Linked DNA regions of Mus musculus: regions 1, 2 and 4 are each reported to be linked to region 3. The links are microRNA targets in miRTarBase. Many come from high-throughput screens and were not tested one by one. Region 3 holds a microRNA gene; each other region holds the end of a gene's coding sequence.
Evidence for each region. The annotated mature microRNA mmu-let-7b-5p reads UGAGGUAGUAGGUUGUGUGGUU and lies in region 3 at 901-922, opposite strand. An mRNA with a match to its seed (bases 2 to 7 or 8) in the 3' UTR can be bound and repressed. Matches are read on the target gene's strand: a 7mer-m8 pairs with bases 2 to 8, a 7mer-A1 pairs with bases 2 to 7 and ends in A, and an 8mer does both.

Region 1: miRTarBase lists Greb1l as a target of mmu-let-7b-5p. Seed matches in the 3' UTR shown: 8mer at 117-124.
Region 2: miRTarBase lists Msra as a target of mmu-let-7b-5p. Seed matches in the 3' UTR shown: 7mer-A1 at 2,500-2,506.
Region 4: the mRNA of Nup214 is a reported target of mmu-let-7b-5p. Seed matches in the 3' UTR shown: 7mer-m8 at 1,270-1,276.

The regions. Positions count from the first base shown.
Region 1 is chr18:10,559,871-10,562,954 of GRCm38, reverse strand. It overlaps Greb1l (growth regulation by estrogen in breast cancer-like), which reads right to left. Exons shown (of 33, transcript NM_001083628.1): 33 at 14-2,635. The coding sequence ends at 2,472. Among named protein-coding and RNA genes, the nearest start is that of Esco1, 49 kb to the left of the region's middle.
Region 2 is chr14:64,120,348-64,123,431 of GRCm38, forward strand. It overlaps Msra (methionine sulfoxide reductase A), which reads right to left. Exons shown (of 6, transcript NM_001253712.1): 6 at 2,274-3,006. The coding sequence ends at 2,842. The region is part of intron 1 of 9630015K15Rik (RIKEN cDNA 9630015K15 gene); the gene reads left to right. Among named protein-coding and RNA genes, the nearest start is that of 9630015K15Rik, 5.6 kb to the left of the region's middle.
Region 3 is chr15:85,705,163-85,708,246 of GRCm38, reverse strand. It overlaps Mirlet7b (microRNA let7b), which reads right to left and starts at 928; the gene lies at 844-928. It overlaps Lncppara (long noncoding RNA near Ppara), which reads right to left. Exons shown (of 2, transcript NR_110483.1): 2 at 723-1,693. It overlaps Mirlet7c-2 (microRNA let7c-2), which reads right to left and starts at 1,644; the gene lies at 1,550-1,644.
Region 4 is chr2:32,051,877-32,054,960 of GRCm38, forward strand. It overlaps Nup214 (nucleoporin 214), which reads left to right. Exons shown (of 36, transcript NM_172268.2): 36 at 243-2,099. The coding sequence ends at 276. It also overlaps a transcript of Fam78a not described here. Among named protein-coding and RNA genes, the nearest start is that of Mir7674, 2.5 kb to the left of the region's middle.

The DNA of each region.
Region 1 (3,084 bases), not on the chromosome of region 3:
AAAACAAGCTTTTCAAAGCTGAGGAATGGGAGGGAATTTTAATACATTCACCAAATGAAAGAACAAGAACATACTGTAGACATAAGTTAAGACAGCTTAGAGTCATAAACAAAATGTGAGGTAGACTGACTAGTGAGTGAAATTCACCAAGTTTTGGTGAAGAAAGTTTTACAGTAACAGTAACACAGATGCCCCTTTCTAACAATCATAAGAAGCAGTTGCATGAATTACAGCCAAAACTCGACTACAGCATTTCTAAGTTTAGTTTACATTCAATATTAACCTGTGTGAACTGTCACACATGCCAAGGTTCAACAGGTCTGCAGGTAAGTTACCAGGTTTGCCCTACCTCAATGTCTTAGTGAATCTATTTGTCCTACCTTAGTGTCCTCAGGGATGGAAGGTAAAATCAAACACACCAAGACATGAATTAACAAGTCATGGTGGCCTGGGCTTGTGCAATTTCATCCTTAAAGAGGACCTAGCATTCTCTAAAGAATTATACTGATTTAGGTCATTTTAAAAGATCCAAGCCTTAATGAAGTTAGGCTTTGGAGACAAAGAGGCAGGTAAATTGAGCTTTCTCAACTATTGGAGTGATGGCCTTTTGGTTTTATTCTGGCATTTCTCTTGAACAGAGTTGAATAGTATTTACAGTTCATGATCACTTGAATTTCTAGATTGTAGCCCTAACCTGGAGTACTTGCATTAAAGTATCTTAGTTCAAAAAGAATAAACCAGTAAGCACTCCTAAGAGGCCTCTGCCCCTCATAAAATTGTTGTGGAATTATTTCAAGTATTCATCTTACATAGTGTTAATGGAATATTGCACAAACAGTGGCTTTCTTGGTATTACCTGCATTGGTTCTGTTCAGCAAAGGAAGAACACGTATCTAATTCCTATCTAACTCAGACTTCCCTGGAAAGTACCTCTTTGCTGAAATGCTGCTGTTCTAAAGCTAAGGAGTAAGCATTTTTAATAAGGCAAGGTCCTCTTTGAAGGTCAATTAAAAATGGGGTTAAAAGGAATTATCCTTTTAAAATACATTTAAAACATCATATGTAGCTATGTTAAACCAAGAGATCTGCAGAGCATTTCCTTCTAATACATCCCATCCTCTGACTAGCTGTAAAGTTCTTGTTATCCCTGGATAACCAGATCCATCACCTAACACTCCCAGCAATGCAGGCTCATTAGGGCTCTTAGTAGTCTCAGGTCCTAAGACAGATTCAAGTAAAAGTGACTGTTTTAACTGGAGATAAAAATCATACACATGGGCTGAGAAAAATCCACAAACCAGAGCAATTTCAGTGTAAACTTCCAATAGGTTATTGTAGAATATTTTCTCAAAATGTTTCTGATTAAAATATTTGGTTAGAAATACATAGAAACTTATTCCTCCTACTGTTGGTATTAGTCATACACTACCTGCTAACTTTAATGAGTCCACATCAATGAGTCTAAAAGACTCTTCATGGAATTTTCTTTACTTGGGGAAATTGTCACTGATAAAATTATAAGGAAAACTTGTCTATGGTCTGTTTTCTGCCCCACTCATTTTTATGTGTCAGTGCAGCACAGCAGTTACTCACTGAGTTGTTGAAGGATGCTAAGCCTGAGCTGATGAAACCAGATAGTTAAGACTCCACACTAGAATCTCAGCGTGATATGTGGGTTTCCAGGTGCTCACTTTTAACCAACACAGTGGTATGGCATAACTGCAGAGTGCATCACTGTATGCTTAAAGACTGCAAGTGGGAAAGACAAAGGAGTTCAGCTCAGAGAACCTTCATAAATGCACACAATGTCTGCTCTGCAGTTACTGACTTTTTTGTTGTTGTTGTTGTTGTTCAGTTTAAATAGTAAACTTTTAACTCCTGTGGAAATTTTGCCAAAGGTTTCAATACATATAAGATTATAAAATTTAAACTAACACTGCACAGAAAAAGACAAGCTACTTCTTTTTAAATACAAATATCTTCTACATTCTATCATTTCAGACCCCTGAGTAATACTGTACCAAAGTACAGATCTGAAGAGAAACTGAGGGTTCAGGCCTCAAATGTTAATCTTCAAGTCATTCCACACCAGTGGTGTATCTCATGTAACACATTCAGGCTGGTTAATGCTGACAGTCCCCTGTCCCCCAACATAGTATGGTAGAAAAAACAATGTGGACTTCACATTTGTTCTCCAGAATACATCCTCGGGCTCCCACAGGCAGAGCACACCCTAAGTAACTGCATAACTGCCCACTGTAGCATTGACCTGAACCTGGGTCCTGTCAGCAGAACTGAAGGAGGACAGTGCCCCCAAAGACCTTGGTCACATTTGGGGAGTTCTTTGGAGAAGAGATAAATATGTTGCACTTTGCTCCACAGTGATTGTACTTTAAAGGAAAAAAATCCCCAATAATTGTTTGTCCCACCCCCTTAGGGGTATGTTTGTTGTTTTTGGTCTCTTCAAAAACTCAAACATGGCGTCCAGTAAGAAAGTAGAGAGGCTTGTCATCACTGCTGTTAGCAGTTTGAAACTCATCCCGGAGGCGGAACTGCCACTCATCCTCTAACTCTAAGCGGACAATTGTTTGACGTAAGGAGCTTCTGTCTTGGCAGATGACACACAGGGTAGCACCTTGAGGGAGGAAGTTGATTACATTTGTAAGAATATAACTACCTTTGGAAACCAACATATAGGTAGAGAAATCATTTTTAAATTATTTATTTATTGTACAAGTGCTCTGTCTGCATATATGCCTGCATGTTAGAAGAGGGCATCAGATCCCTTTATAGATGGTTGCTAACTGCCATGTAGTTGCTGGAAATTGAACTTAGATCCTCTGGAAGAGCAGCCAGTACTCTGAGCCATCTCTCCAGCCCCTAGATAATTCATTTTATCTCAAGTAGTTTTGCAAAAGTTTCAAGGAGCATGAAGTGATTATAGAGGGAAGTTTCTTTCAGCCACAGACCTTCCCTCCTATAGTGTCTGATGTTTCTTTTGTCTTTTTCTAGAACAGGGTTTCTCAACCTTAGAACTTAGTTGTGTGTTGGGTGCTCTTCTGTGCCTTGTGGAATATTTAGCAT
Region 2 (3,084 bases), not on the chromosome of region 3:
AGAGACAAACCAGCCCATAGGGAAAGCGGGAGAGTTGAACATCTCTCTTACCAGAGGAAGCAGGCAGGTAGACCACTGGCTGGTAAAGAAGGCCCGGACTATACTCACGGACTCTGCTGTAATCCATAGATTATTCCACCAGCAAAAACAAAGTATGCATCCCTTTCTGGTGAACACGAGGCACAATAGCTGATGATATTCAGGTCCACAAAAGAAGTCTTGGCACATGTGAATACCTTCAAGATACGCGCATGGTGCACCTACATACACATAAAATCTTAACCAAATTAAAAAAAAAATGACAGCTTTTCAGCTGGGTATTGGTGGAACACTGCCTTTAATTCCAGAAGAGGTAGGCAGATGTCTGTGAGTTTGAGGCCAGCTAGTTGACACGAGTTCCAGGCCAGCCAGGGCTACACAGTGAGATCCTGTTCCAAAAATTAAATTATTAAATTTTAAAAGATACCTGTTGCTTATAGATTCTAGATTAGGCATGGAGAGCTGCCTCAGGAAGCACCAGGCTATCATGAGGCACAGGAAGGGTGGACAACAGGTGAGTTTATCTGCAGTTTCTGTAAGGAGAAATGAGCCAGTTGGGATGAACAGGCCTAACAGCTATGGGAAGGATGAGAACAATTGTTGTGGGCCCTGTGGTATAGAGGGGAGGTGGGTGGTGGCCTAGAATGTTAGAGTCCAATAAAGACGGTGATTGGAGCATGTTAACTCTATATTTATCTATGTATGGATAAGCACACTCTCAGGAGAAGGCCAAGAGTGGTGAGGGTATAGATAGAAGGTCAAGGCAATGAGACTGAGTTGGGTGGCGGGGAGCAGGTCATGCCAACATGTGTATGTAAGGTAGATGTTAAAGTGTCATGCTTATAGACCTAGAGACATGGTCAATGTAGTGGTGTCTCCATGGAGTGGGGAAACACCTCAGATTTAAGTCAGATATCCCAGGTCCCATGCAACAGAGCTAAATTAAGGCCCTGCTTGTCTTTGTGACTCTATCCAATGGTCCTCCTGGGACTTCTGAGCATTATCAGCAGTCTGCGACTCTAGAAGTGCCTGGACTAGGCTTGTGTACCCAGCACAGAGTCGCCGAGGGAAATCCTAGGTTCCGTTCTGTGGAAGGCTTAGGGCAAGGCCCAAGGAGTGCTCCCTGAAATGATTTGAGAGCCCTGTTCCTTCTCCCCGAGGGACACCTTTCTTTCACAGACAACCTCAAGTGTCACTTTCCGAGCTCATCTGCTTCTCCTGTAACCAGACATCCCTGGGCACCAGTGGAGGCCCCACTCCTTAGACGTCAGCACCTTCATCCTCTCCCACATGACCTTGTATGGTCCCATGGCATCTGCATGCAGATCTGTCCCTAAACTGCCTCCCTTTACATCTCTACAATGGAGCCAGGAACTTGCATCCGACCCTTGCATAGATTTGTGCCCTCACATGGTAATAACCCTCTGCTCACTTGTTCCCAAGTGAAAAGAGGAGTCTGAACGGCCTAGTGCTGCTATTCAGTTAAAGCCAGGTCTCAGGTTCCTTAATGATCCTCCCTGAGCCATCTCTGCCCTCCTTGGACAGTTCCTCACAGAGACCTGTTCTGCAAACTCAAGTCTGGAGGGCCTTTCAGTTTCTCCAATTCTGCCATGACCACTTGTATTTCTGGTCTAGAAACCCTTTTCTTCTTTTTGCTGAAGCATACAGGGTGATTGCTTCTGAGCTGTGTGTGTGTGTGTGTGTGTGTGTGTGTGTGTGTGTTTTCCTGGCACACACTCACTGGCAGATTGCTTTATTTGGTAAGCCATTCCACCTTGCTATTTGCCACCTTATGGGGACTGTGGTGAACTCACCAGCTGAGATGACCCTGCGCACAGCTCCGTGGTCCCAGAGCCAGCATCTTCCTTATGCATCTCTCTGTCCTGCATCAGGACCTGAAGTTATTTTACCTATTCATTTGTTTATATGGCTATGGTTTCTTGTCTGAAAGAGAATGTTCTTCTTCTCAAGGGCAAAGACTGAAGGTATCTGCTCTAAGTACCAATGTCCTCGATGTGACATGTTACAGGCGCCCTGAAAACAACTATTCATTACTAAAGCCATAGAGAGCCAGGGGTGTGCCCACTTGCCAAAAATTTTAATCATATTTTCCATTTAGGGAAAAATAAACAGGAGGGCTTGTTGTAGTTGTTTCTTCTTGAGCTCTTAACTTGGCTTTGCGATACTTCTAAATATCCTTCCCGAACAAGGGAAGACAGACTCACAGCAGGCGGTTGCTATTACCAAACTGCAGATTTTTATTAGAACAAGCTTTATCATAGCTGTAAGCAGAATGTTAGAATTCATTAAGGTCACTCCTGTCTTTTCTCTGCAGAGAGGATGGAGGGGGAGAGAAACCCCTAGTACACATCTAGAGCCAGCAGAGCAAAGCGATTTGGCAAATGATTCATGGGATCTGTAGACACTAATGAATTGGGCACCCGAGGGCAGGGAAGTGGGTGAGGTATGTCAGCACAGACCAAGGGGTCCCAGTACCCTGTGCTCTCCTGGCCATCCCCCTGCTTCAGAACCCTCAGCATCCTTCCAGTCTGAGCAGATCCAAACAATCCACTAAAATGTCATGATTTGTCCCCACCCGGACTGATCAGAAGGCAGATTACAGTGTATCACCTTGTCATGCTACTCTCTGGAAATCAAACCCCAATAACAACCAGATTCATGTAAAGGTCCGTGTGGTGTGTGTGCTTTGCATAAAGTGACAGATGTGAATCACAGCAGTGCCACTCCATCCAGCAATCATGGTGTTGATGGAACCTTCAGGGACAGCTTCGTGGAGAGAAATTATTTTTTAATGGCCATCGGGCAGGAAACTCCAGTACCCCCGAGGCCACAGTAGCCGTCTGGGTTCTTGCTCAGGTATTGCTGGTGGTAGTCTTCGGCATAGTAGAACACTTGTCCCTCTCGGATGTCGGTGGTGATGGGGCCAAAGTTATGCTTTGAAAGAACCTGTGGAGAGAGGAAGAGAAACCTCAGGACCCAATGCTGGACACAGGACTCCTTGAGAAGGAGGGAGCGTGGCCAGCA
Region 3 (3,084 bases):
GATCTTTGGAAATGGCTGGCTAAGTTTGAGAGGTCTGGTAGCTGAGGGTGGATATAGAGGGGCTCTAGGGGTGTTTGGTCTGCCTAGGTGCGTCAATGGAGGTGTGTGGATATGCAGAGTTGAGGCAGATTGGGTTCAGGACGGGAGCTGGGACTCGGGGGATTCATTATGGGGAGAAGGCCAGGACATCAGGGTCAAGGTATCCACCCACGAGGGAGGCCTTTGGTGTCTGGTCAGGTAAGACTAGGACTTTACCTTCCTAAGCTAACACTAGCTGAGGGCTGACCCTCACCCCACTACCACCACCTGAATGAAGGCTTGGGGTCCCTGGAAGAAGGGTATATGACCATTTGGCCCAAGATTAGAAAGCTACATCCACAGCCGTCCCAATACTGTCCCAAGGGAGGCAGGCACGAAGGGACAATAGGCCAGGAATTTCTCAGATCTGGTTAGGACCACAGGCTGAGGGACACTGGAAGCCAGTACTGTGCTCTGAGACTTGGAGTCATAGGGTCTGTTGTTCCACTCATGTGGAGGGGCTTGGGTGTCCAGGGCTTGGGCCACTAAGGGGCACATGGAAGATGAGGGGAGGGTACTGTTCACTACCCAGAGCAGCTCTTGCTGGCAATGTTTCATGCATGCAAACGTGTCAATGTGTGGTTGGCGATCTCATGTCCTCTACGGCCAGTCTCCGTATTTCCAAAATGACCAAAGACCAGTTGTAAGTTCATGACAGAACATCCTTTATTTATACCCAGGTCCCACGTCATAGCCCCCACCCAATCTGTGGCTCCATTTAGCTTGCTGAGCGGGGGCCTCCATGTAGCTGTGTCCCTGGGCGCCTCAGGGAAGGCAGTAGGTTGTATAGTTATCTTCGGAGGGGCAACATCACTGCCCTGAAACCACACAACCTACTACCTCACCCTGCGGTGTCCGTGTTCTGGAGGAGGCCCAGCCGCTCCCCACCCACCCTGGCCACAGGCCACTAGAGCCATAGGGCACAGGGCGGGGTGGGGGAGGGGGAAGTGGAGACAGAGGTTCAGTGAGAAAGGCCTGTGCCTACCAAACAGATTGAGGAAGCCTCTGGTGTCTGAACCCATTGCCCCAGGGACAGGGGACAGTGGCCTACACGGTCCATCTGCAGGCTGTACTCATGGGTGTGCTAAGAATGGCTCCTTTTCAATTTCTTCTCGGAAGAGACGCTTGCTCGTCAGAGGCCTGACCCTGCGCTGGAAAGCCTGGGCAACTCTGGAACATAGTTGAAGGTCTAGTCCAGACCCTCTTTTCATGGAGACCTGTGAGCACAGGTCTGATATGGGGCCAGGGGCAGGAAGGCCCCTTCAGTGTGGGCCAGGGAGAGAAGGTGCCCTGAAAATGCTGTCTGTTTTCATCGCTATGCCCCAACCCTTATACAGATGAGTAACAGCCCAGAGAGGTCAAGGGACTATCCAAGGTCTCTGTCAGGCTCTTTTTGCATGGTAGTTATCACCCCCCTGTCCCTCCCTCAGTCTCCCCAGCCAGGGCCGCCGTTGTATCCACTGCAGATATTGCGGCCACTTCAGGAAAGACAGTAGATTGTATAGTTACCGCAGAGCGGGGCAGAGCCCAAAACCATACAACCTACTACCTCACCCCAAAGGCCGTCAGTCAGTCTTGGCGTAGAGCTGGATGTTGTGGCTTCTTGAGGTCCCTCCTAGAGGAAGAAGGAGAGCTGGGGACATGGTGAGCCCCACCCCCCACCCCCGACACAGGCCGCTCAGTGCTGAGGGTATTAATAGACTGGGATTTTCTCAAAATGGGCCAGGGACATTTAAACAAAATCACAGAGAGAGTAAGGGGAGACGGGGAGACGGGGAAACGGGGAGAAGAGAGAGAAAGCACGGGGCACTGAGCACAGGAATGGCCACAATGGGGGAAGGGTGTCATTTGTTAAAGGCCACCAAGGTCCAGGGTGCTTCCAGTGTCCACCTGGCTGAGACCCAGCCTCTGTCCACTCAACTCTAGCGTAGTAGAATCACCAGGACTCCTGCTAAGTAGTAGCCTTGGGCATGTACCCTCTTCCCCTTAGGCAGGAAGAGCCCCCCCCTCGTGGGCTCTGGTTCTGTCCCTCCCTCTTCTCAGGGTGGCCTGAGCTGACCTTGCTGGGGGAGGCTCAAAACAGTCTTTCCTTGTGGGAGGCAGCCTAACTCCCCATGGTGGCCAGCCGGGCGCAAGTGCAGACCCTGGCTGGACACTCATGGCCAGTCTGTCCCTAACGACTAGCACTTCCAGAGGCCAGCAGAGATCGCTGAAGAAACTGAGGCTCAGTCTCTGGTCTCAGGTAGCTCTGCTCTCAGAAGGGAAAAAGACCTGCTTCTTTCAGGCCTCAGACCGGTTTGCCCAGCATGTGGAGGGAAGCCCTGTGCCCAGACCTAGGAAGCCAGGCAGCTTTTGCTCTCTGCATGAGCCCTAGCGTCTACTGTCACGCCTCCTTTCCTCTCTGCCAAGGGTCAAGGGACAAGTCCAAAACTCCTGGGTCAAAATGAAGCCGTTAGGTCTAAGTCCACATTGTGGCCCCAGATCCGGAGTCTATGGGGCAGAGGAGCTTAGGAACAAGGTTCCCAGAGCGCTGGTGTGGCCTGGCCCGTGGTGGGCAGGCCTGTGATGATAGGAAACACTAATCTTCCAAGCCCCAGAAGGAAATCTGAGCCACTGGGGTGCCATCCCCTGCCTCAAGCCTGGACCCTTTCACTAACAGGCAGGTCAAATACCCTCAAGGATGGTCCCTGCAGAGGCAGCAAGGCAGAAGAGGCGTGGGAAGAGAGTGGTGAAGGGCCCCTTTGGTGATCCTATCTATGATGGGTGGCCCAGGTGAGAAGGCTGAGGGGTGTCCCACACTGCTTAGCCTCTCTGTAGGCTTGACTGGCCATGGTTAATCTCGTCGGTTCTTAGGCTGTGCCCGGATGTGGTGGAATAGCTAGAGACCACATTGGTCATCTCCATCTGAGCCCAGCACCTCCCTCCCCCTCTCCGCCCCCAGAAGCACTTTGAAGGAGGAAAGAGGTCAGACATCAACCCCAGGTCTCTCAACACTTCGGGTTCTGC
Region 4 (3,084 bases), not on the chromosome of region 3:
CTGGACTTGTGTGATGTGCTGTTTCTGTTTGCAGAGCCAGGCTAAAGAGCCAGGTTAGCAGCAGGTGTTGGGTTTAGGGCTGCCGGCCTGCGGGAGGCTGAGTAAGAGATGATTGGCCTTCCCGGCAGCAGGGCGTGGAGACACTTGCCTCATTTCTGTGGTGGTGTCTCCAGCTGCCTGCTACTGAAGGCTCCAGGCCCAACTCGAGGCTTGTGTGTTGATCCTCTCTGCACTTCTTGCAGGTCTGTCCAGGGCTTCGGTGGCTGGAGAAGCTGAGCTGATGTCAGCATTCCCTCAAGTTCCTGTGAGCTCCTGTGCGCATCCCTCCACAGCAACAGACTGTCAAAAGAACTTTCTCATGAAAACGCTCAGCCAGGAAGAAACACTGGAGACCAAAGCTCAGCAATGCTTAACTAACTGCCTGTTCCCCGCTTTCAAATTTTACATCAAGTTTTTCGTCTGCTATTAAAGTGTTTGGTCTGGTTCTGCACAGAACATCTGGGTATTTATTTGGGTCACAGCCAGAGACATTCCTATGGCTTGAGGAAACCAAGCCAGTGGTCTCTGCCCAGTGGCATTCTGAGTAGAGCCCCTCTACATGGAAAAGAGCAGAATGTGGCAGACACCTCCCCACGTTAATGTCTATGCCACATGTTCTGTGGTTCCATGTCAGGCTCCTGTGAGGGCCCCTTCCTTCACAGCCAGTTCTAAGACAGGTATGGCAAACAGACCAGGGAGGCAGCCGCTGAGCTGCCTGTCACCTGCCACCCTGTCTCTGCTCCTGCATGCTCTGCATCTGCTGCCAGTTCCCAGTGCAGAGGCAGTCTGCTGATCGTCTCCATACACAGCATTTGCAGACCTACAAACACCACGTCCTTCCTTCACTGTTTGGAACCCACGACTTACGGGGACATCAACAAGTCGCTGCAGGCTTGGACAGTGTGCGAATCCATTTTAGACATGCTTCTTTCTCTGGGTGCGTTAGCTTTGAGGGCCTGGCATGTTCTGCTCCTTGGGCTGTGGAGTCCTGTGCTACCAAAGCCTCTGCAGAGACCATCTGTCACCTTTCAGGTTCACAACATGGCACTGCTCTGGACTGGGTCAAGGGCAGAGGGAAGAGCTGTGGGTTGGGGTTTGTCATACTGGAAAGGTTTTGGTTCCTTTGTTGTTCAGGGGTTGTTCTTGTTTTTGAGACAGGGCTTCCCTGTGTAGCTGGCTGTCCTGGAACTTGCTCTGTAGACCAGGCTGGCCTTGAACTCAGAGAACTGCCTACCTCTGTCTCCTGAGTGCTGGGATTAAAGGCATGCCCACTACCACCTTGCTAAGATGCTGTTTTGTAATGCTTTAAGGTCATGGTGCAGTCAGTGTGACTGTGGTCCTATTGGCTTTTGTGTCCCCCATGCCACAGCTTGCTCAGGTGTGCCCTTATGTCTCAGCCTTGGCCTCAGACAGGGAGTTCAAGCCTCCATCCATCCTTATTCAGGGGAAGAACATGACCATCAGGGATGGGCGCTCCCCCAGAGTGTTCAGTGGCTTCTTATCATCTCAAGAGGAATCTGCCCTGCTGGGTTCCTAACCAGCCATCACCAGAGCCAAGACAAGACCTAGAATTAGGCACAGGGTCCACCCGGACTGTCACCCATTCTCTGTGCCACAGAGACTTGTCTGCATGCTTCACTCATTAGGGGCTCTGCCTCTTCTGAGGAGCTGGAGCCTTGAGAGCCTCAGTGTGGCCTCCTTTTGGTCCTTTGGGAATTGAAGAGCCAGGCACCGCTTGAGGCCCCTCTGCCCGGAAGCAGGTCTGTCTCTCCGTATGCTTGGAACTTTGCCGACCAGGTCTCTCAGACCAAGGGATCGCCAGGCTTCTTTTTGTGTCAGGGTCTCACTCTGCAGCCCTGGCTGGCTTCAAACTCTCTGATCCACCCTTTCCGATATATATCAAGTGCTGGGAAGAAAGGCACTTGCTCCAGGCTTTCTGGGTTTGATGGGGAACATTCATGGATGAGGACTATAACTGGGTAAAGAGAGGGAAGAGCCCGTTTTGTTACCTGAAGAGGAAGACTGAGATTAAAAATGGAAATGAAGGAGTTAGTGAACTGAGAAAATTCAACTGAGGTAATTTCCAAGGGTGCCATAGTCCTGCTTCAAGCATTGAGTTGTTACACTTGACAAAGCAGCAGGACAGAGATCAGGTGGCGGGGGGCGGGGGGGGGGTCCTCCTTCAGGCAAGAGGGTCTGTAGGTACTTCCTGCTGTCAGTGGACTTCAGCCAGCCACAGAGGTGAGGGGAGGTGACACACCCAATTGTGTGATCAGATTATATATATATCTTATAAAGTAGGTGCCCAGAGAAAGCTTAATATTTTTTTTAAAGATTTATTTATTTATTTATTATATGTAAGTACACTGTAGCTGTCTTCAGACACTCCAGAAGAGGGCGTCAGATCTTGTTACAGATGGTTGTGAGCCACCATGTGGTTGCTGGGATTTGAACTCGGGACCTTCGGAAGAGCAGTCGGGTGCTCTTACCCACTGAGCCATCTCACGAGCCCGAGAAAGCTTAATATTAAACTCACATCTCTCATTGACAATTCTAGAATGACAGGAACTCACCAACCACAATAACCATGGCCAAGGGAGTGAGGATGCCTTGGGGACTCACTCCTTTCACAGTTAGTGTTGGCCAGCTTTTCAGGCTGGCCGACCACACCTGTCCTGACGCCCTGCATGCTGAAGGCAGGCTGGAGGGCCCACAGTAGCTCTGCCCCATCAGAGCCTCAACTTGGAACAGTTCTGAGCACAGACCTACGCCTCTTACCAAATCCCTGTGTGCTTATGGGGGGGAGGGGGGGCATACTGCTGACCATGGGTCAGGAGTCCACACTTCCCCCTAAAGTGAGAATCTGTGGAAGCATACTCAATGTCACAAGATCCAGTCCTGTACATGGGAATGACAGTCACCACCACTGAGTTCTAGCTCAATGCAAGTGCTCTCAGGTACTGTCATTGCTCAGGCCCGGCCACCTGCTGGGCAGCATCCTACCCCTCACTACTACTCTGGAGGCTGAATTCTAGCCAGAGCTGC